Linked DNA regions of Lytechinus pictus. The protein of the gene in region 1 interacts with the protein of each later gene in a biochemical or structural test. Links are inferred from orthologs where the notes say so. Each region holds a gene or a part of one and is shown on either strand. Other genes may lie near its edges. The genes, in order: nuclear RNA export factor 1-like, GTP-binding nuclear protein Ran-like and THO complex subunit 4-like.

The links.
Region 2: the proteins of nuclear RNA export factor 1-like (region 1) and GTP-binding nuclear protein Ran-like form a complex in vitro, tested with the Homo sapiens proteins (2 studies listed by BioGRID). The link is inferred for Lytechinus pictus from reciprocal best matches to the Homo sapiens genes NXF1 and RAN.
Region 3: the proteins of nuclear RNA export factor 1-like (region 1) and THO complex subunit 4-like form a complex in vitro, tested with the Homo sapiens proteins (2 studies listed by BioGRID and IntAct). The link is inferred for Lytechinus pictus from reciprocal best matches to the Homo sapiens genes NXF1 and ALYREF.

Annotation. Positions count from the first base shown.
Region 1 is NC_087251.1:3,281,627-3,289,236, reverse strand, and holds the start of nuclear RNA export factor 1-like, read left to right. Parts: upstream 1-4,607; 5' UTR 4,608-4,622; coding exon 4,623-4,752; intron 4,753-7,610.
Region 2 is NC_087246.1:34,163,421-34,170,648, reverse strand, and holds the start of GTP-binding nuclear protein Ran-like, read left to right. Parts: upstream 1-4,195; 5' UTR 4,196-4,509; intron 4,510-4,731; exon of another isoform or gene 4,732-5,004; intron 5,005-7,154; 5' UTR 7,155-7,202; coding exon 7,203-7,228. UniProt on the Homo sapiens protein: GTPase involved in nucleocytoplasmic transport, participating both to the import and the export from the nucleus of proteins and RNAs. Switches between a cytoplasmic GDP- and a nuclear GTP-bound state by nucleotide exchange and GTP hydrolysis.
Region 3 is NC_087254.1:29,241,650-29,248,846, reverse strand, and holds the start of THO complex subunit 4-like, read left to right. Parts: upstream 1-4,108; 5' UTR 4,109-4,150; coding exon 4,151-4,291; intron 4,292-4,855; coding exon 4,856-5,003; intron 5,004-6,151; coding exon 6,152-6,221; intron 6,222-7,197. UniProt on the Homo sapiens protein: Functions as an mRNA export adapter; component of the transcription/export (TREX) complex which is thought to couple mRNA transcription, processing and nuclear export, and specifically associates with spliced mRNA and not with unspliced pre-mRNA.

The DNA.
Region 1 (7,610 bases):
CCAAAATAACAGTAAATCAGGGCTTGACATTAGCTGTTGCCTAGGGCAACCAAAAATGAGAGTTGGGCCACCAAAATTCTGTAAAAGTCAATACTTGGTGGCCTGGTTGGGCTACCAAAGTTTTGATAAATTGTAATATTTTCTATTGTTTTTAGGGCCACTTAATTTGCTTTACGAGTCACCAAAAATATGAAATTGATGATTTTGGTTGACTGATCGGGCCACCGAGAAAAGTTAGTGTGGAACCTTGAGTAAATAACAATGTTTTGCTTTATTCACATTGTGTAACCTTGACCTCATTCTTTTGGCTTTTGTACATTCATGAGTCATTTTAATGGATAAATCTCATTTTCACACAACTGATAAAAATTTGTCAATGAGTGAAAAAAATATCCTGTCAAATTAATTTAAGCAAAGCACATTCATTAGAGGAGAATGAAACCCTTGAAACCAGCTGAATCCATATCAAAGAGAAAAATCAAAGAAACATATTGTTGAAAGTTTGAGGAAGATTGAATGAATAATAAGAAAGTTATGAGCATTTGAATATTGAGATCACTAATGCCATGTAGATCCTCCAATTGGCAATGCGACCAAGATCTGTGATGTCACACGTACAACTCCCTCATTACTTTAGTACTTATTTCACTTATATTCTCACTTTTATAGAGTCTATCACAAGGTGAGGTGTTCTTTTTATGAGAGGACAAGTACAGAGGTTTCACAACATTATATCATTGATGAATCGTTTGTCATATGATTAGAATGAGCAAAAAGAGATGTTTTGGGGTATATTTTCAGTGTCCAAAAGGGGAGAGTTGTTCATCTGTGACATCATAGATCTTGGTCGCATTGCCAATAGGAGGATCTCCATAGCATTAGTGATCTCGACATTCAAATGCTCACAACTCTTCTATTGCTAGTCCTATTTTACTCAAACTTTTGTTGATCTTATTCTTTGATTTTTCTGCTTTCACAAAAGCTAACTTGCTCCAAGAGTTTCATTCTCCTTTAAGAAGTAATGTTATTTGCAAAAAGGTGAGTTAACTAAATTTTTGTTATTTTATATTTTTATGACAGGATTTTTAGCAAAATTATTTTCCACTTGTATATAATTTCAATTAGCTACATTATTTATATAAGTCATCTATATTTATGATGAAATAGAGACATGTACCCACGTTCCCTGTCAGTGATAATGGAGAAACTAATCCTGGGGCCCGTCTTACAAAGAGTTGCGATTGATCCGATCAATCGTAAATATGGAAAGCCAGCAAAGTCAACATATAAAATGCACGATTATTCAAAAAAAAATTCTAGATATGAATGCATCCATAAATTCATTGATTTCTTGACAATTTGGTGTGTTCTCCTTTGTTTACAAAGGACAGTTTGCAAATTTCCTGTAAAAAAATTATGACACTGATGGATCTCCATAGAGTTACGATTGATTGGATCAATCGTAACTCTTTGTAAGACGGGGACTTGATCTAGCAATAGAAAAGGTCATACAATACAAGTCTTCAGTAACCTAAAACAGGTACAGTATAGTGATAACAGGCAATTTGATAAACCACATGGTTTAACAGGATAGCATAGGAGGAGACAAAGTGGAACACAAATGAAAGGGAGGGGGAAAGACATGGATGAGAGCCTGGAAGAGGAAGATATGAAAGAGATTACTTAGTGATCAACCGCGTAGCCAGGATTTCATTTTGGAGGGGGTGGTAAATGCACGCGAAGCGTGCCAACGCTTACAGAGCGCGTTCCCTAGGGGGTGGGTGCAGGGAGGGGGAGTTTCCCCCTCCCGCGCGAAGCTTTTGGTGTTTCATAAATTAAAATGAAAAGGAGTTGTCTCTCTTGTCTCTAGTATCTATATCAGCTCGAATTCAGTTGACTATATTGTGATTTTGAACCTGGTTTTCATGAACCTTGTTTTAAAAAAAGATTGTGAACGCACAAAAAAGGAATACAATGGAGGAAATTAAAATGATAATAACCCCGCGCGAAGTGCGGCAGCTAAAGCGTTTTATCAATTTTTTGCCATGAAAAGGGTCCCGAGAAAAGGATATTCTCAAACATATATTGAATACTTCCCTTGGAAAGATCAGATTTGATTACAAACAATTTAGCGACAGTGCATATCTTTAACTCGCAAAACAGAGGAGAAGAAGTGTATATGCATGGAGGAAGAAATTCCTCCCCGCGCAGAGCAACGAAACTCTGAAATTTCAAAGGGCGGATGTTTCATCAAAATAATGCAGATACCTCCAATACCCCATCGGCTCTAATTCAATTAATTTTCTAAGATTATTGAACTTCATTTAAAGGAAAATAGTGCGCAAAAAGTTGAAACTTCTGTGATTTATTGAAATTATATAAAAAGGATGCCTAATTTCTTTGACTTATCCTGAAGCGCTTCATTTTGAATTATAAATAAACTTAAGAGTCATTCGAAATTTCAAACTGAGGGCGAAAAACAGGACAGGAGATGAATGTACAGGGAAATGACATGAAGTTGAATAGAATTTGATAAAAAATATTGTACTTTTTTATTTAATACCCTTATACGATACGAATTTTATACCTTCCTCTTTTTGGATTAGGAACCTGTTTGCCCCAAAAATTATGGTTGTTTAGTAATGAGCTGAAAAGCGGGAGAAGTTGACTTTATGGAGGTGACGGCAGAAATTGATATAAAGATTTTACCCGCCCGGAGCCGACCCGACCAGAAGTTGCGCGATCAATTTAAAAAAAAGATAACTTCATATACTTCGGCCTGACCTTACTCTAATTCCATGCCCTAATGTATACATTTGAACTTTAACTGGCAATAAACACATATAGCTGAGGTAGAAAAACAGGGTTAGAGAAAGGGTGGGGGAAACAATTGGAGATCTTCAATATTTTCATTTAACCGCGCGCAGCGCGGAAGCAAAATTCATAACCATAAATTTAGAGCAAGAGTGAAGGAGTTTCTCTTTTGAGAAAAAAAAAAGAATAAAAAGAAAAAAAAAACACAAAGCTACCTTTTTTCCCTTTCCTCCCTTCCCTTTTCCTTTTCTCCTCTCTTTTTTTCCTTCTTTTTGGGGACGTTTTGGGGGGGGCGACCGCCCCCACCGCCCCCCTGGCTACGCGCCTGTTAGTGATACAAGTACATACATATTTGACCTAAGATACCTACCATTAGACAGGACCTGTTGCATATTTATTGATTAAATACATGAGAGATTCATTACTTCCATTTTAAGCCAGCTTGAAAAATATGATGTATTTTATAAAATACAAATTTGTTGTGTTTACTTCAATTAAATTAGGTACATGATCATGATAGAATAGGTAAAGGAGATAGATAAAGAGAAATAAGTGATTTGAGATTGGATAGGATATGGAAGCTTAGCATGGGGTGACTCCTTCCTCCTGGAAAGTGATAAATTTCTGAAAACATTCCCCATTTTTTCTGTTATTTCAGGGTAAAGTATCAGGGTCCTCCTGTCTCACAAAGAGTTGCTATATTGATCTGATCAATGCAACTATGGAAGGCCAGCAACAACGTCAACATCTAAAATGCATCTTTGTTCAAAATATTTCCTACATGTTGTATATTCATACATTCATTGCTTTCTTGAAAAAGTTCTGCATGCTTCTTTTTGTTTACAAAGGCTTTATTGTGCAAATTTCTTGTAGAAAAAATATGACATTGATGGATTTCCATACAGTTAAGGTTGATCAGATAAATTGCACCTCTTTAGTTTAGACGGGGCCCAGGTCTGAATATTATAAATAATAAACTTAAAAGTGCTGTTTATCAATAGGCTTTAATTCCATTGGCTGTTTCAGCATGGATTGCTGCATATAGGACCCGGATATAGGATATTTGAAGAGAGCATAGAGATACAAAAATTAATTATGGTACAATATGGCAATCACAGTAATTCCACTATATCAAAAAAGTTGTTATGGAAGGAGATTTGTTATAAGTGCCCTTTTCAAGGAAATGTTTGTTTATGTCCCGGGTTTATGTCACCAATCAAGAGAACTTTTATATTCCAGGGATATATAGGCCCAGGGTGAATGGCATTCTATGGTAGTTGGGCCATTGTATACGGTATGCATAGTAATTCCTTTTTTGTTTTACAATTTTGTATTACAATTCAGAAAAGAGGATTATTTTTGGTGGCGTAATGCATGTAGGGCCTAAGTAAAGTTGATAATTGGTCCCTCCCCCGTCAACCTTTCAGATGCCACTATATACCACCAGGAGCTGGACAGAAGATCCTGCCAGATTGAACCTTATAATTATGTAAAAAAACAAAAGGCTGGGCCGAAAAGGGAGCTCCAAAAAAGCCCCCCCGCCCCCTCCTCCTCCCAATGCTGCGAAGAATTGTAGTGCCATAGAAAGTGTAATCTGTTTTCCGTTTTGACTATGGGATGGCTTTTTAAAATTTTCCAAAAATGCTTTGTTATATATATGTTTTAATCCCTTTCTCAACGCTGGAGACGAGGCCTTGTACTTGTCAGACGTGAGGTGGCGCAAGACCACTAAAATCGACGACTTCAACGGTGTACGAGACGTCGACCCTGTACGTACGTAAATTGTACGTGCGCGCGCCCATACCGGTATGCCATATGACGAGTCTGGCGGCGAGGCCGAAATACAAGTCGGAAAACGGAACATCATGTCGAGTTTTCAGCGTCATGGAGATTTCACAGTGACAAAATCTACTAAAGGAGGTGGTAGAAATTACTACGGTAAATATAAAAAGATGTTCTTTCTGTTTTGCATGATAAGTGTAAGAAAATATTTGCCGGTTTTCTCAATCATACTGCGTGTGAATGTTGAAAAGTTTGTAGTTTTTGTACCGTACGGTTCCGGTACCCAGTTGTTGTTTGTCCGGACAGGTTGTGTGTCCGGACGATCAATTTTAGAAAGTCATTTGGAAAAAAATACAAGCGAAGTTTCATCAATTTTTAGTACAAAACGTTAGGAAATATTATAAAGAACAAAACAGAAGATGATTACAAGTATTGAATTTATATTTTTAGTGTAATACAAAGACAAAAAAGAAGGCGTCAAAAAGATAAAGTGTCCGGACACCCGACCCCCCCATCCTACCGCTTTTGAATGTGAGAGACCATTGGCATTGCCATTGATTATGAAAGGGGGGGGGGGGGGGGTGGCCTCTGCTCGCCTAACTATTTTTTAAAGTTAAAATTTAACATGAATTCATGAATTTCTTTTTATTTCACAAACATTTTCTGTTGATAAAGTTCCTTATATTCTTCTGAGTAAGTGTGCCGAAAATCTCAGATACGATTACCGGTGTCAGTGTGTGCTGTATCAGTGTATGTGTAATCACAATTCCACAATATTTTCAATTAGTACCGTAAGGGCACTAGTTAGTAGTATTCAACCCGGCATAATTCAAAGATTTTGACAAATTCCCCCAAATATTTAGCACTTTTGCACTGAATTGCACTAGTATTCAACCTAGTGATGATAAGCGAATTTCAAAATGGTTTAAATTGCTAAACTAGATAGATCTATGCAAGTCTCTGGCTTTGACTAATTCCGTTTCTTGGTCTCATCTCAAATGGTCTAGTCCATAGGCAGATGGGACAAGGGCAGATTGAGAGACAGGGCCATCTTATAATCGCTAGGTTGAATACTAGTGCTGACGGATTGAATACTAGTGCCAAAAACCATCGCCGTATAATTCGATCGCCCGCGCACACAGTCGACGGGTTGAAGAAAAAAATAACGCAAAAAGAATAACCAGCATTTGCTCTTGGAAGTAAGACAGGTCTGAAATTAAGGTAAATTCCAAATTTCTATATCAAGGCTCCACATTAACTTTTTTTGGTGGTGGCCCGTTTGGGCCACCAAAACCATCAAATAATTTTTTTTGGTGGCCCGATATTAAAGTTTGGTGGCCCGAAAAATATAAAGAAAAACATTAAAAATGAATAAAACAAACTTCTGAAATATTAATTCTGCAGCCAATACCACTATGTTACTTTTACTTTATACATCTTGTATGTAAACCTTGTTTGCTGTTATTTTACTTTGCTAATTGATAAATGTTTCTATCGTTGTAAAAATGAAATGATTGAAAGAGAATAAATGAATTGTATTGTTCGCAGGTTGTGTGGACTTTTTTAAAAATCTCTGTATAGAGATAATGGTAAAGTAAATAAATAGTGCATAGCAAATTCAGATAGATGTACAAAACAATGGTTTTTCCTTCCTTCCTCTTTGAATCCTAAAACCTAGATTATGCATGCCCCAAATCCAGTTTATTTCTGTTTTCTCTTTTGCAGCATATTATAGAAGGAGAAAATCACAGAAAAATATGCTGCAAAATTAAAACAATGAATAAAAGGGGGAAACAAACGAAAATAATTTTCAAAAAGTATATTACAAAAAGAAAACAAAAATAAAAGAAATTAGTGAAATAAAATAAAAAGAAAGAAAATCATAGAAAGAAAAAAACAAAGAACAGGGAAAAAAAGAAAAGAAAAAAATTAGAGAGAAAAAAGAAAAGAAAATGAAAGAAAAATTAATAAAACAAAGTTAATAAAAAAATGGGGAAAAGGAGAAAATTAAGAAGCCATTACATATATTTTTAACAGCTGTGGCAACAGTCTATTCTGACTGGAATATAATTAAAAGCCAAGCAAATAATTTTCACTTTTTGGGAATGGCACATTTTTATTTGTATATCCTTTAGTTTGTATTATTTTATTTTCAGTAGAAACATATTTTTTAATCAGGCATATTCACTGGGAAGGGGTATAAATGGTTTAACCACTGTCAAAAAAAATCAAAGGAAAAAAAATAAGAAAACGGCAAAAATTATATCTGGAAAAAAGTGTGAGAAAAGTCCTTCCCTATGTTTGCCAAAATGTTGGAAAAAAAATCACATTTCATATCAATGAAATGCCTTCCCAAAGTATTTACTTTCTCAAGAGTGGTTTAAGAAGTCATTTATAAACAAGAAAGAAAGAAACTGTCTGTTTGTTTTTGGCTAGAAAATACACAGCTTCGAAAGAAACCAAGTATCAACATACATACAAATGCACACGTGGGACTGTGATGTACTTGCCTATGTGTTTTTATGTGTATTAATTCATGTGGAAATCGGTCTTTTTTAGTCAAAAGAGAGGTCATAATTCCTCTTCTTAATACTTGCAAATAATCAGGGTACACCAGATTTTCGTAATATAGACTGTAGAATTGCATTTCATTGGTGTAAAATGTGACTTTGACTTAGATTTTCAAAGTTCTGTGGAAGATTTCTCAGCAGCAACATTTTTTATCGCAGCTCCCCGAGTCTGAATAGGCTGAGCTAGATCTAGAGCACAGCTGTATGCAGTGGCTTCATGCAAAGCTCATGCCAGCCGGCCGGCGCGTCTGGCTGGATAATAGCTACTCTATGCTGTAGCTGTAGGCCTAATATGCAAACTTTGTGTGTGTGTATTTGTGTGTAGATCAACAAAAAGGGCGCATGACGAACTGGCTTGCAACTTGAGCTGTAGAAAGTTGATAAATGCGTGCAAAATTGGGAGAAAAATTGCGCTACTTTGAAAATTATTGGTTGCCCGATTCG
Region 2 (7,228 bases), on another chromosome or scaffold:
TCATAAAAGATGGGCGACACGAAAGACGGTCCTTGGAAAGACCCTTTCGTGCAATCGGCCCCTGCTTTACACGGAGCTGTGATTCACATGAAACTGGCTAAGGTTTTTTAATCATTGTCAAGCTTGGGAAAAGTGTGGAGAAGAAATGTAAACCCCGTATAAAAACGTAGTGAAAGAATGCTGGACTGAGAGGTCTGAAATAAACTTTTGTTTACATTCAGTTATGTCCTCATATCCAGCTGGCACAAAAAGGTAAAGGTTGTGCTTACCTAGGATTAAAATGTTGATTTGGGTGGCAAGGTTGTTACAGAATGTTATGTATCTGGTTTATTTCAATTGGCTAAACATGATGAGAAAATGTTCAGCACAGTCAGTTTGTTTTCGCCTATATGTTTTCCTTGACCTGTTGACACAGCGTGAAAATAAGCATTTCTGCCCAAACCGATTTCTGCGAGCTTTACAGAAAACTCAGTGCTCACTCAAGTGTAACATTCTGTCAAAATTCTTAGTTTCATTGGATAGATGAGACCCAAACCCAATGTGAAAGAATTATCCACATGGGCCCGTACTCTGAAGTCAGGTCAACCGCGTAGCCAGGATTGAATTTTTGAGGGGGCGGTAAGTGCACGCGAAGTGTACCAACCAAAGACCTTATTATATATTACGGTGCCAACACTTACAGAGCTCCCGATAGGCGTTAATGTTGAAAACTGAAGGCGTCTCTTGCGTCTCTAGTACCCTATCAACTCGAATTCAATTGACCTGCTGTGATTAAAAACAAATTGTTTTCGAAAGAGAAATTATGAGCGCCCAAAAATTGGAAAAGATTGGAGAATTTGAAATAATTCCTCTTACCGCGCGAAGCGCGGAAGCTTAAAACGTTTTATAAAAATAGAGAACAGAAATGTTACAATTATTATTTTTTTATTTATTTATTTATTCATATTTCACCAGGGTAGCTCATTCAACAAAAGTTGATCTTCCATGAGGCCCTGGATAACAAACAATACAATTATATACAATTAAATACAATCAATGGTGATAATACATATACATAATTATGCCTATCTTGGTCACATCAGATTTGATTGTGAAAACTTTATCCACATCAAATTTCGTTAACTCAAGTCAAAACAGAAAACGGGTATATGCAGGAAGAAAATAGGCCCTATATTCCTTCCGCGAATGGCGTTGAAGCTCTGAATTATAGAAATTTCTCTGAAACTTTAACCTGTTCTAATTTTGATATTTCTTAGATTATATACAACTCGATTAAGAAGAAAAACGAGCTCAAAATTTGAAAGGAATGATGCAAGTTAGAAAAGGGACTTTTCCTTTCCCATGCTCGCGAATCACGGAAACCTCTGTGATTTATTTTGGAAGAAAAAACATTGTGTAATTTCGCTCATATTAAGCGCTTCCTTTTGTTTGATCAAGAAACTTCAGTGATATTCAAAATTTCAAATCAATGGCGCAAAACAAGACAGGAAATGGATGTACAGCGATACAGAATAAAGTGTAATATCGTACATAATTATTTTTGCATATACCACGGCATGAATTTAACGTCTCCCCTTTGAGCAGATACTTTGCAAAAAATTACTTCTTGAAAAGCGTAGAAATAGCATTTGGGGATTCGGGTAGTGACGGAAAAAGTCTCCCCGCTCCGAACAGATGAGCCGAAATTTTGTGTCAATGCAAAACAATTAAAAATACTTTGCATACTCTTTACACTCGCCCATGTACTTTATAATTTCTGGCAAGAATATACAATTCCCCCAGCCGGGAAGGGGAAAACGGAGTAGAAAAAAAGGTGTGGGAAACAAAAGGGAATAGCAATTTTGATATTTTTCCTGCGCGGAGCGCGGAAGAAAGTTTTTTTGTAAAGAGAAAAGAACGTCTCGTTCAGGTTTTTATTCTCTTGACAAAAAAAGAGGAAAAAAACAACGAAGCTTTACTTTTCTTCCCTTTTCTCCTTTCGCTTTTTCTTTTTTTTTCCTTTTCCCCTTCTTTTTTTTTCTTTTTGGGAGCATTTTTTTTGGGGGGGCGACCGCCCCCCCCCCCTGGCTACGCGCCTGAGTCAGGTTTAACTTAGACCATGGTCTAACTCTGTGCTAAAATTATGGGAAGCCAATAGTGTCCATAAGGTTGACAATGTTTGGCTTATTTTCTCTTTTTCTTTTGGACAAATGCTTGATTTTTTTGCACTGTCAGTTTCCATTACAGCTTTACAGTATATAACTTGGCTCTTAAGCAAATTTGATTCTTTAAATTATTTTTTTCTTGATTAAAAATAGAGCTTGAAAAATGTAAATTTTGTTGCCATATTACTTTCCACCAATAGAGGGCGTACACAAAAATATGCCCAAAATTCAAGTTTTTGAGCGCTCTGGTCAATACAAAAATTATTCTAAGTTACTAATGAAAATTAAATTGCAACTGTATGGAAATTAATAATTTTGGTCACAAAAGTGATATTTTAATGATTTTTTTAAAGTGTGTGCTCAATACAGCATTGGCATACCATAGTCCTACCTGTAATTTCCCCACAGCGGCACAGGCAGGATGGTAGCAGTGGAGTCGGCCTACTTTTGCATTTAAAAAAACGCAAAATTTCTAACGCGGTCGCCTTTCCTACAAGAATTTGGCCGTAACAAAATAATGAACAAATCCTTACTTTTAGCTTGTTGCAAAGGTTTTATCCGCTATCATAAGAATATGGTTATAATAAATCCAAGGCATGAATTAAATCATTCAAATGACTTTTAAATATAGTAACAACTTTGATATAAACCAATAAAAACGTTCCTTAAATACACTGGCGGGGGGTCACATGGCATCATTGTGGAAGCGGGGGATAATTTGTAAAAATAAATATAGGTGTATAAACATATTCTTGAAGTTTATTTTACGACAAGTTACTGATGACACTGATCAATTTTTTTCCGTTACAATGAAACACTCTAGCCTTGTAACGACAGCGGTATTTCCCACATATCCTAACAATTTTTTTTTTTTTTTTTTAGCATAATTCCAATCACATACATTAATTGACGCAACAGTCTAATAATTTAAAATGTCAAAGTTGAATTTTGCTCCAAATGTTGAATGTTGCATCATCTCTCAATACAATATCAACTATTATTCAAAAATTTCCTTTAATATTTTCCTTTTCAGTTTCACCGTTTGCATCATAGTTCCATTTCCGCATTTTCAGAAGTTTATATTAGGCCTATACTAGGATTCTATAATCCTATAGGATTTCATAAGGAACCGCTTTTCCCGATAATCATGATCCCATTTTTTATGCTCAACTCACCTCTAACTAGTGAGCAAATGAGTTTTCATTGCACGAATCTCGACTGTTTAATCCTTATATTTTTTATATAAATACTCATTTCTCCGTTTCCCTTTTCTTCTAAAGTCTTAGTTATTGATTATAATTACCCTGGCTTACTATCCTCTATAATGCACAATGTTTTAGACGACTGAAGCAACTTTCTCACAATGCGAGTTCGAAACGCGAGTGAAATTTTTACATATAGTGACATGCAAGATTTTTTGAAATTATTTTCCAAGTCTTCTCGGCCTCACCTTATTTTATTCACTCGTCTTCGTCCTTTAATTTTTCCTTTTTTTATATCCTCTCCTCCCCCCCTCATTTCCTTTTTTTCGCCGCCAATAGGGTGGGGGCCACGACCCATTGCCCCCCCCCCCCCCCCCCCCCCCCCCCGTATCGGCCAGTACTAGTGTCAGGGATCAAGATTTGGATGGTTTCAAGGAAATTTTCCATTTCAGCAGACGGGTCAAGATGATACGCATGCGTCGAAACCTTCATGAACGAGCGTGCGCAGATTTCTTCATATTCGTAGTTTAATTTCAGGAATTTTGAATAATTAGTTTGTCTTTGTGTTTCTTACTTATATATAACTATCCCAAAATTGTACCTATTTTAGACTCGATATTTCTGACTTATTAGACCAATGGCAATGACTTGATACCAGCTGTTTAAAAAATAGGTTTTTTTTTAGACGGTTTCCTCAACGCATTGTACAATGAAATGAACTCCGGGAATGAACTTGAATAATATATATTAGAATTAAAAAGACAAGATGATGGAATGTAATCATAATGGCCTTCATTATTTTGAGGGCATGGGAATTCAAGCAAAGTTCAGAAGGTATAAAATTACTACATACATCCATAAGGTTAAATGAAGTTCAGTCCTGGGCGCAGGATCTTTTGCTCATTCTACTTTCGTGATATATAAAGCCCGGATATAAAGTCCCGTATAAAGTCCCAATTTTTTTCCTAAAGTTTACTCTTGGTTTCATGCAGCTCGGAGTACTTCAAATTTAATTTTGCGACTTGAATTAGTTCTACTTTCACATTGCTATCTTCGCTCGATAGCAATTCGCAGTATATAGTACGCGTGCAATTGAAATTCTCACGTGTGATGAATGAACTGAATTTGCGCGCGACAATTGCCAGCTAAAGAAAGGAAAATAGGTAAGATAATTTCTATAGTCAAGTTTCTCATAGCATTAAGGAAAATTTATGATTCATAATTCATGCGTCTTCATCATAAGTCTCATTCGACTAATATTTTATTTGAATTTGATGAGGTATCATACTGATTTTTATCATCGAAAATCGTCCGTGCAATCCAGTTATGACTGGTTCGTTCACAACCGGCATGACCGGCTCCATATAGCCATAGGCATGCATTTGTACGTACGTTGGCCATTCGTCAGTAGGCCTGCGCCTATTGAGTATTGTGTGGGCATTGCGAATTGAGCTGGATGTGGCATTTTTGCACATGCTTGAATGCGAGATATATTTTAGTGATAGATCTAGTCTAGTTAATCGTCTTGGAAACGGCTGTGACTGACTGAGATTGCGTCAGATCTCAACCTACTAAGCCTAGGCTAGAGTAGATGTTCTCAACTTTCTGCCTAGTGTCTAACTCTAAATTTAGTAAAATTTAGACTTCATATCATACTCGTAGGTTCTACTTCTTCTACTAGTACTAGTTCAACTTCTACTTCTAGTTCTAGTGACATTCTTAAGCATTTAAAATGAAAAGGGCAAATTTTCATGTTTATACACCTTTCCATTTTCTCTCAAGGTCTGGTTGAATAAAGACATGCAGTAACACATGCCATGGGCATGATGGGTCATGGATGCATTTTCGTTAATAAAAATTAAAATGTGTGTGAACATCTTGTTTTACAATTTTACTTCAAAAGGATAAATTATTCTGATATCAAGAATGACAGAATCAGCGTTTGAAGCACTCCTAGTACCAATGAGGTCCAACATTACATGTATGGACCTCATAGGCAACATCAGTAGTATTTTTGGTTAGAAATCTCTGAGAACAGGATATATCACAAGTACAAGCTATATTCCTTTCTCTTATTTAAATTATAATTTTATAGTGTAAATGCATCGTTAGCAACAACAAAAAAATGAAAGAAATGAAGGGGAACTTACATTTTCACGGCTTTTTCCTGATTTTCTGGGCAGCTGCTCTTCTCTTCTGACTCGCGATCGAAGCTGATATGAAGATCACGTGATTCGCGTTCTCGTCAGCTGATCGGTTGGTTATTCTTTGTCAGACGTTAATAATATATATTTTATAATGCTAGCATTCATCGCTAATTTAGGTGAAAGAGATTGAAGTTAAACAGCGCCAGGTCGGAATCATAATTATTTTGGAAGATGTATTTATACACTCGATCTCATACCTGACGTAGACGGCGGTATTCAACAAATGCACAATCTTCAATATAAAAAATAAAACAGAAAGAACGCCTTGAACACAGGCCAAAATGCCTAACGATTTCTCCGCGGCATTAACAACTATCATAAAGGGCGCTCCATTTATCAATAAAGATGGATGCTAAGCTGTCTATGGCGACAAAATTTGCCGCAAATATTTACGAAGAATTGTGAGAAATGGTCTGAAAATGCAACAAAAGAACCGGTGAGTACCGATTAAACATTATCAATTTATTTAATAGAACATATTTAATGACTACAATGTAACAATTTCTAGATAATATTGCTTAGTTCTAAGCTAGGGCGGCCCAAATGCGCGTGAGTGGAGTCCCAGTTTATTAGCACGGGTAAGTATTGGGGTGTCGCCTAGAGTGGTTTGAAGCAATATAAAAAAAATGATAACTTTTCTTTAAATGAATGATAATGATATGTATGATTTACTCTGGATAATTAATTAGAATAAAGCTCAAGCTGCGGATTAATTTTTTTTTTAGATTCTCTTTGTGCCATTGACTTGTGACGTTGTGTTCAAATGTAATTTTCAAAAAGTAAAAAATTTGTTTTCTTATGTCATGTATGTATTCTATTGTTTTAAAATTTCTTATATTATGTATTAGGCCTAATCATAAGAATTAGGACCGAGTCAAAACATTTAAAAGCTGTTCAAAAGACCGTCAAACATTTACCTATTTTGACAACTGTTTAATCTGTATCGATCTAACGTTAGTAGGGCCCAGGGGGGGAAAAAACCTTCCCAAAAAGATGCTGAAATTTCACATTTTGCATTCATGAAATGGCCACCTACTTTAAAGATTTCTTTAAAATCGTTTTGATTTAGTTGAAAACTATCAAGTAAATGAAGAATATTCAGCCTCTCTCGACGATCGACTTTGGAAAATTGTTTTATGATGTTACACTTAGTCAATATTGTAGTCCCACATGCAGACTTCAGTGGTGTTGCAACATTAAATGAAAATGATCGTTTGATTGGTTTGTTTTTTATTGTTTTACACTCTGTTGAAAGTCTAAATGAAAGTCTAAATGTTGGACTAGAATATTTACAGAGTGTAACATTATAAAACGATCTTTCAGAGTCAAGAAAGAGGTGAATATTCATTTCAAGTAAATTTGGAAAATATATAGCCTTTTCCTGAATGTACATATAAAGATGTAAAATGTGACATTTCAGCAACTTTTTGGGAAGGTTTTTTTCCCCCTGGGCCCTAATCTTAGATCTATACAGGTTAAATGGTTGTCAAAATAGGTTAACGTTAATGCTGTTAACAGTCGTTTGAAGTTTGAACAGTGTTTAAACGTTTTGACTCTGCCCTAATTCCTAAAGTTTATAATATTTTTCATTATATTCACAGATCCTACAGATTTTATCACAACGCAAGCAACCAGTGTCAGACAGAAAAATGACTCAACAGGCCACAAATATAGA
Region 3 (7,197 bases), on another chromosome or scaffold:
TTATTGGGGCTTCGTAGGATCAACGGACGCGCTCGACGCACTCGCAATGGTATGTAGGGATTTTGATAGAGCAAGTACCGAATATACCGTTGTCCCTAATTATAATGGAAAGGTCATGATGTGGGGATTATCATTTGGACATTCAAAAATAACGAAAGTAATACATTAGGTGGAAATCGCCAATTAAAAAGCGCTAAAATGCCTCTCCAAAATACGCCTCCCATCGGTCTCTGAATTGACTCGAATTTGATGAGGTGTATGAGAGTGTACGAGAGACGTGATTGGCTCTCCCACGTCAAGCGCCATTTGCATGCAAAACCTGTTGCGAGGTCACGTTTTCTCCACACTGTCACTGAATACTTCGATCACGAAATGAAAGAAAACCCAGAAGTTTATCTAGATTTTTGATTTTCAAATTGATGATTTGAAGATGAAGAGAATGATGATGAAGTTTCTAGCTCTAGTGACGTGGATGGAGGTAAATTTAGCCAGGCGGCTTCTAGAGAGTAAAAATCATTTACTAACGTAAGGTTACTCTCATACGAAGCCAGGCCTTCTATCACATAGACCCACACAAAGGAAGCCAAAACCTGAAACTTTCACCCCCGAGATTTCTACTTTCCTTCTAAAAGATCTAGCTCTAAATCATGTACATGGGATAAAACTTCATTTCCGACATTTCTACGCTCTCGTTATTTTTAAAACAAGAATTTATCAAAAAAATGAAAAATTATTGTGAAAAGACGGAAGAGACTTGCCCGATGTTTACGCCGCCATCTTGTTTCTTATTGTACTTCCCCAACGTTACGCGACGCTCGCGTCCGTAACGTTGGGGAAGTACAATAAGACAATGATGAATTCTTCTTCAAAAATAACAACGAGAGCGTAGAAATGTCGGAAATGAAGTTTTATCCCATGTACATGATTTAGGTCTAGATCTTTTAGAAGGAAAGTAGAAATCTCGGGGGTGAAAGTTTCAGGTTTTGGCTTCCTTTGTGTGGGTCTATGAGATAGAAGCCCTGGCTTCGTATGAGAGTAACCTTACGTTAGTAAATGATTTTTACTCTCTAGAAGCCGCCTGGCTAGTCAGAAGCCCATTTGTTTTGTATGTGATTGACAACAAAATTCCTTATCAAATTTCAAAATAAAAGTAGACGGTGAATTTTTAAAGTAGTCGGTGAAAAGGGGTAATTTTTCGTGAATGAGGAATCTGCTTATCACATTTTTATTTGCCGCCAAGGTAATCCTTTTGCAGCAAATGTAAACAAAGGAAATTGGACTCCAAAACTGGAGACTGTCTCTGAAATTGGATACCCAAATTCTTTACAAAAGTCTCTGATATTGGAGATAATCTCCCACATTGGAGACAGTCTCCAATATTGGCCGTGCGCCGCTACTGACATCTGGATTCTGGAATTAGCGGTATTTACTTACTTAGATCAGATCTACTTACTTCATGTACTTGGATTGCCTGGAGGCTCCTGGAGAATAACAGTCATTTTACTGACATAGGCTTACTCTCCATGGAGCCTGGGATGGGATGGTATATGCCCACACACACCAAGTATTTTGGAGACAACAATGTTGCTCCAAAATACTTGTTCTCTTTAATAACTTACCATTAAGTAAACTTATGTAAATGGGCTACAACTTCATTCCCCCCCCCCCCCCCCTTGGAAAAAAACAATTCTTTTTACACCAAAAATTATATAAGAAAAGAAGAAAAATCATGTAAGAAGATGAACTATACTCACAGATGTTATTGTCGATGTCGCCATCTTGACGTTTTTGTTATCGTAGCCAAAATACAGATGCGTATAGAGGCATGAGCAGTGCCAACTTAGATATTTAAAAAAATTGCGTCGTCCAATAGATATCATGGATTGTAAAATACTTGCATCGGCTAATAGATATCATGGAATCACTTCATGATATTTATCGGCCGACGCAAGTATTGTTTTTTATCCAAGTTGGCACTGCTCATGCCTCTATCCGTGTCTGTATCTTTGGCTACAATAACAAAGACGGCAAGATGGTGACAATAATATCTGAGTATAGCTCATCTTCTTACATGATTTTTGTCTCACCTGCATAGCAGAGTGAGACTATAGGCGCCGCTTTTCCGACGGCGGCGGCGGCGTCAACACCAAATCTTAACCTGAGGTTAAGTTTTTGAAATGACAGCATAACTTAGAAAGTATATGGACCTAGTTCATGAAACTTGGCCATAAGGTTAATCAAGTATTACTGAACATCCTGCCTGAGTTTCATGTCACATGACCAAGGTCAAAGGTCATTTAGGGTCAATGAACTTAGACCATGTTGGGGGAATCAACATCAAAATCTTAACCTAAGGTTAAGTTTTTGAAATGTCATCATAACTTAGAAAATATATGGACCTAGTTCATGAAACTTATACATAAGGTTAATCAAGTATCACTGAACATCCTGCATGAGTTTCACATCACATGACCAAGGTCAAAGGTCATTTAGGGTCAATGAACTTTGGCCGAATTGGGGGTATCTGTTGAATTACCATCATAACTTTGAAAGTTTATGGATCTGATTCATGAAACTTGGACATAATAGTAATCAAGTATTACTGAACATCCTGTGCGAGTTTCAGGTCACATGATCAAGGTCAAAGAACTTTGGCCACGTTGGGGGTATTTGTTGAATTGCCATCATATCTCTATAAGTGTATTGGTCTAGTTCATAAAACGTGGAAATAAGAGTAACCAAGTATCACTGAACATCTTGTGCGAGTTATAGTAGTTTTCAAAATCAGCACTGCTGCTATATTGAATCGCGTGATGCAGGTGAGACGGCCAGAGGCATTCCACTTGTTCTTAATTTTTATATTATTTTTCATGTAAAAGGAAGTTTATTAGTTCCTAATGGGGGAAATGAAGTTGTTTTGCATTTACTTAAGTTTGTGATAAGTAAGTTAAAGAAATCGAGTATTTTGGAGCAACATTGTTGTCTTCAAAATACTCGGTGTGTGTGGGCCTATGCCATCCCGTCCCAGGCTTCATGGAGAGTAAGCTTACGTCAGTAGAACTACTTTTACTCTCCAGAAGCCTCCAGGCTACTTATAGATGCTTCAGCTGAACGCAAGACTCTGTCTCTGTATTCAGCTCCAAATTCTGTCTCTTTAGGCTGGCCAGATCATGTAAATCTCGAGATATGCATCCTGTCGCTTTGGCAAAAAACAAAGAAAACAAGATGGCGATGTAAACATCGTGGCAATTTTTCCCTGTCTTTTCATAATATTTTTCTCATTTTTTATGAATTCTTGTTTAAAAATGAAATCAATATTGTAGAAATGTCGGAAATGAAGTTGTATCCCAATTACATGATTTAGGGCTAGATCTTTCAGAAGCAAAGTAGAAATCTCTGGGGCGAAAATATCAGTTCTTCCCGGTACACGCACATGAATGGGACGCAATCCCTGGCTCTTTGGCGAGTAAGCACACGTTAGTGAATGATTTTTACTATCTAAGAGCCTCCTGGCTAGACTTGGTGGGATGCATAATTATATGCAAGCGCAAGTTCAAATCAAATGTAATGTACTAAGAGTAAGAGATCTACATGAACTGCAAGAAGATTTTTACACCGCATGATCTGCAGCAAATCGATCTACATGTAGTATAAAATGTGTCAAGTTTTACATAAATACAGGAAGACTAGATCTAGTCTTATGTGAGAAAGATTAATAAAATAATGTGAGAGAGATGAAATAATGTAAGAACATGAAGAAAGAGGGAAAGAAGAAGAAGAATATTGAACATCTTCCTTACTCTCACCCAGGGACAGAGTGTGCAGCTGGCATTTGATTTGTTGGTGCCAGAATGAGATTGTGTTGCATGGATTCATAGATTCCACTGCCAGTATTCCAGAATTCCATATTTGGGCTTCATCCAGTGATCATCCAGAGATGGTGTTCATGTTAAAAATCATTGCAGATAATCATGAATCAAAATATGATCAGAACAAAATTAAAATGCTGATCTATATCAATTTTTTGTCAATGAAGTCTAGATCTACATATCGTGTAATTTTTTTTTCTTTTTAAAGAAAATTGTAATAAAATGTGATTTTGATGGGGTCTTCATATTTTTTGCTTGTTTTCCTTATTTAGCCAAAACAGATGCCCGATCAGTGGCAGCATGATATGTACAGTGAAGGTGGAGGTGCAATCAGAAGACAAGGATTATCAACTGCAGCGAACGGACCTGGAAAACTGCTAGTTTCAAATCTGGACTTTGGTGTTTCAAATAATGATATTGAGGTTAGTTACATTTCATCATTATGTCCCTTGTTGTTTAGTGGTAGGGCTCTTGACAAGTATTTTCCTTTCATTTCCATCTGTAACTTAGCAGTTTCTGTACCCTTTCTTAATTTCATAAAGACTTGATTTACTGCACATGTGCTCAGAAGAAAAGATGAATTTAAATGGTTGTCAGTATTAACTGATTGTATTGATTATGACTTGCTACTCTGTCAAGGATCCATTCCTCATTATCACTTTATTTGTTGAGTACCAGTGCCAATATTCAAAATGCTCAAACACACACCCTTTTGACTTAAAGTAATTTACACCATAACAAGCCAGTTATAAGACAAAATGCACACAGTGGAAACATTCATGTACCTATTATTTTACTGTTTCACTGTCAATGCAAATTAAGTACACCATGCTATCATTGCAGTTTTCAAATTCACTTTTGTGTGACATTATAACTGTGCTTCAGAAAATACTAACAGTGCCAGCCTGCAGTCAGAACTTCAAAGTAATAGGTCCCTGTAACATCTATAGATATTCTTCATTATTATAATGGTATTCTCTCTCCAGGAATTGTTTGCAGACTTTGGTAGTCTAAAGAAGGCTGCGGTTCATTATGACAGGACGGGAAGAAGTCTTGGTACAGCAGACGTTATCTTTGAAAGGAGAGCAGACGCTATGAAAGCAATCAAGCAGTACCATCAAGTGCCATTAGATGGTGGGTAATCATAATGCTTCCATTTTTTTCGCTTCAGCTGCTGTATTCCTTGAAGGGTCATGTTTGGGTTTTAGAGAGAGAGGGAGAGGTTTAGTTTGAGATGGCATGATGTTAAAGATCATGTTAGTTTTATTAAGTCTGGCTTCAAAGTTTCCATAAGAACAATATACAAATAGCGAATAGGCATGAGTGCGATGGTGCGAGATTTCGCATGAGGTGAGTGAAAGATGCTCTATTCAACGAGGCGTTAGCCGAGTTGAATAGAGCATTTCTTTCTTTCACCGAATGCGAAATCTCGCACCATTGCACGAATAAGAATATTCGCTATTTGTGTTGTACAACGCCTCGGAGTTTAGCGAATTTATGAAAAAACAAAGAGTTTTTCCTGCAGTAATCTATGAAAAGGGAGCAAAAATATGGAAAGCGAAAAGCAAAATCCCACAAGCGACCACCTCGGGCCTGGGCAGCATTGCGCATTTAGCCAGCAGGCTATTCGCGTATTGCACCTGCATTTTTACTGAGCGCAATGAATTGAATCGTATTGTGACGTCACCTCCTAAAGCCGTGCAACGGTACATTTTGGATGGTACGTCTTTTGTGCAACGGTACGAATGTTTGACATTCAGCCTCCCATTTGCTCGCGTACAACAAGCTAAGTAGGCGTTGTACAATGAAGGCTCACACATGAGACCCATCATATCTTTATGGGCACATGAAAAGGGATATCACAATTCTGTGATGCTGTCATTCAAATTTCATTAGAGTTGAATTCTTCAGGTATAGAATAATTGTTATGCAAGGTTGGTATACTATCATTAATTGCATAAAGTTTGCAAGTGTCTTTGATGACAGCCCACTGAATAATGAATGATCAAAGTGACATGTCAACCATTTTCACAATGTTATTTATGAATCATGACTATGATGCAGCACAGCTTTTTGTCCCATGAATTTCTTTCATGTTCACTTTTAGTGGTGCAGATCTGCAAAAATTAGTTTTAGGGGTCATACTTGATTGAAAATGTCATTGACACATCATTTATTTTTTCTCTCCAAGTCAAATTAATATCAATAGAATTGTCCTTGATTATCAATTGAATATGGTAACAATATTTTGACTTTTCTTATTTGCCCCGTTGCATCAACAGGTCGACCGATGAATATTCAGTTAGTGGGTTCAGCGACTGAGCTAGAGTCAAACCCAATGCAATCAAGACCGTAAGTTTGCATCTTTTCTATTTTGTCCATTCTCCTGTAGTTAGGGTATCTTGTAAAGGCCTGCTTTCTAAAGTTGTATGTTTTGTATTTATGTTTGTGCTAGAATATGATCTAATTATGACATCAAGATTTGAAGAAAAAAAATTAAATATTTCCTTTTAATTTTTAAAGTTTTTTTTTTTAGACTGGTGGAACAAAGAGATAATAGTAATACTACAAAATATGTATTAAAGCTATGTAAAAGCAACATTTAGATAATTTAAAGTGTTCATTCAGTCCCACCAATTGTCTTTTGGATCAAAACACAATTTGTCAAGTTGGGCATATGTAAAGGCTCAACAAAGGATGCTCGTAAACTATTCTTGTTCTAGTCGCTCTAATTGAGTCATCGAAATTTAGATTTTATAGGCCCTTGCAAACATATTTTGCCCTCATTGTATGTTATGAGGAAGACTGAGAAAGATGTGTTATTTCACACAGGTTGTGTACATTGTAAGCGGTTTTATATTCTTGCCTAACAAATCCCAACAGAGTAAACATAGGAATAGCAAGTTCAGGATAATGAATAAGTTGTAACCATTTGGCACATTTATGCATAATGTATTTTACTCAGATTAAAGAATAGCAGTTTGTCCACCCTCTGATTGTTTGCAAAATTGTTGCCTGTAAGCAAAAATGTTATTGTTTGTTTTATAGTTGTCTTATCTTTTTCATTCTGTTTGGATTTTCAAGGCAAGAATGTAAAAGTGCTTGCATATCCTGTGTGTATGAAAGCAAATATCCAGGGGGTTGAGTCCAGTATGATTAGCATTGAATACTCTTTTCTCAAAACCAATTTAAGCTATTTTCCTTCAAGGAGATACTGCTATTCTCTCTTTTTGATCTTGTTTGCCACATCCTGTTTTGAGATTAGCTTAAGTGACATGCCTTTTGTTGTTTCTAAGAGGTACAAGTGTATCAGTAAGTCTTTAATCCT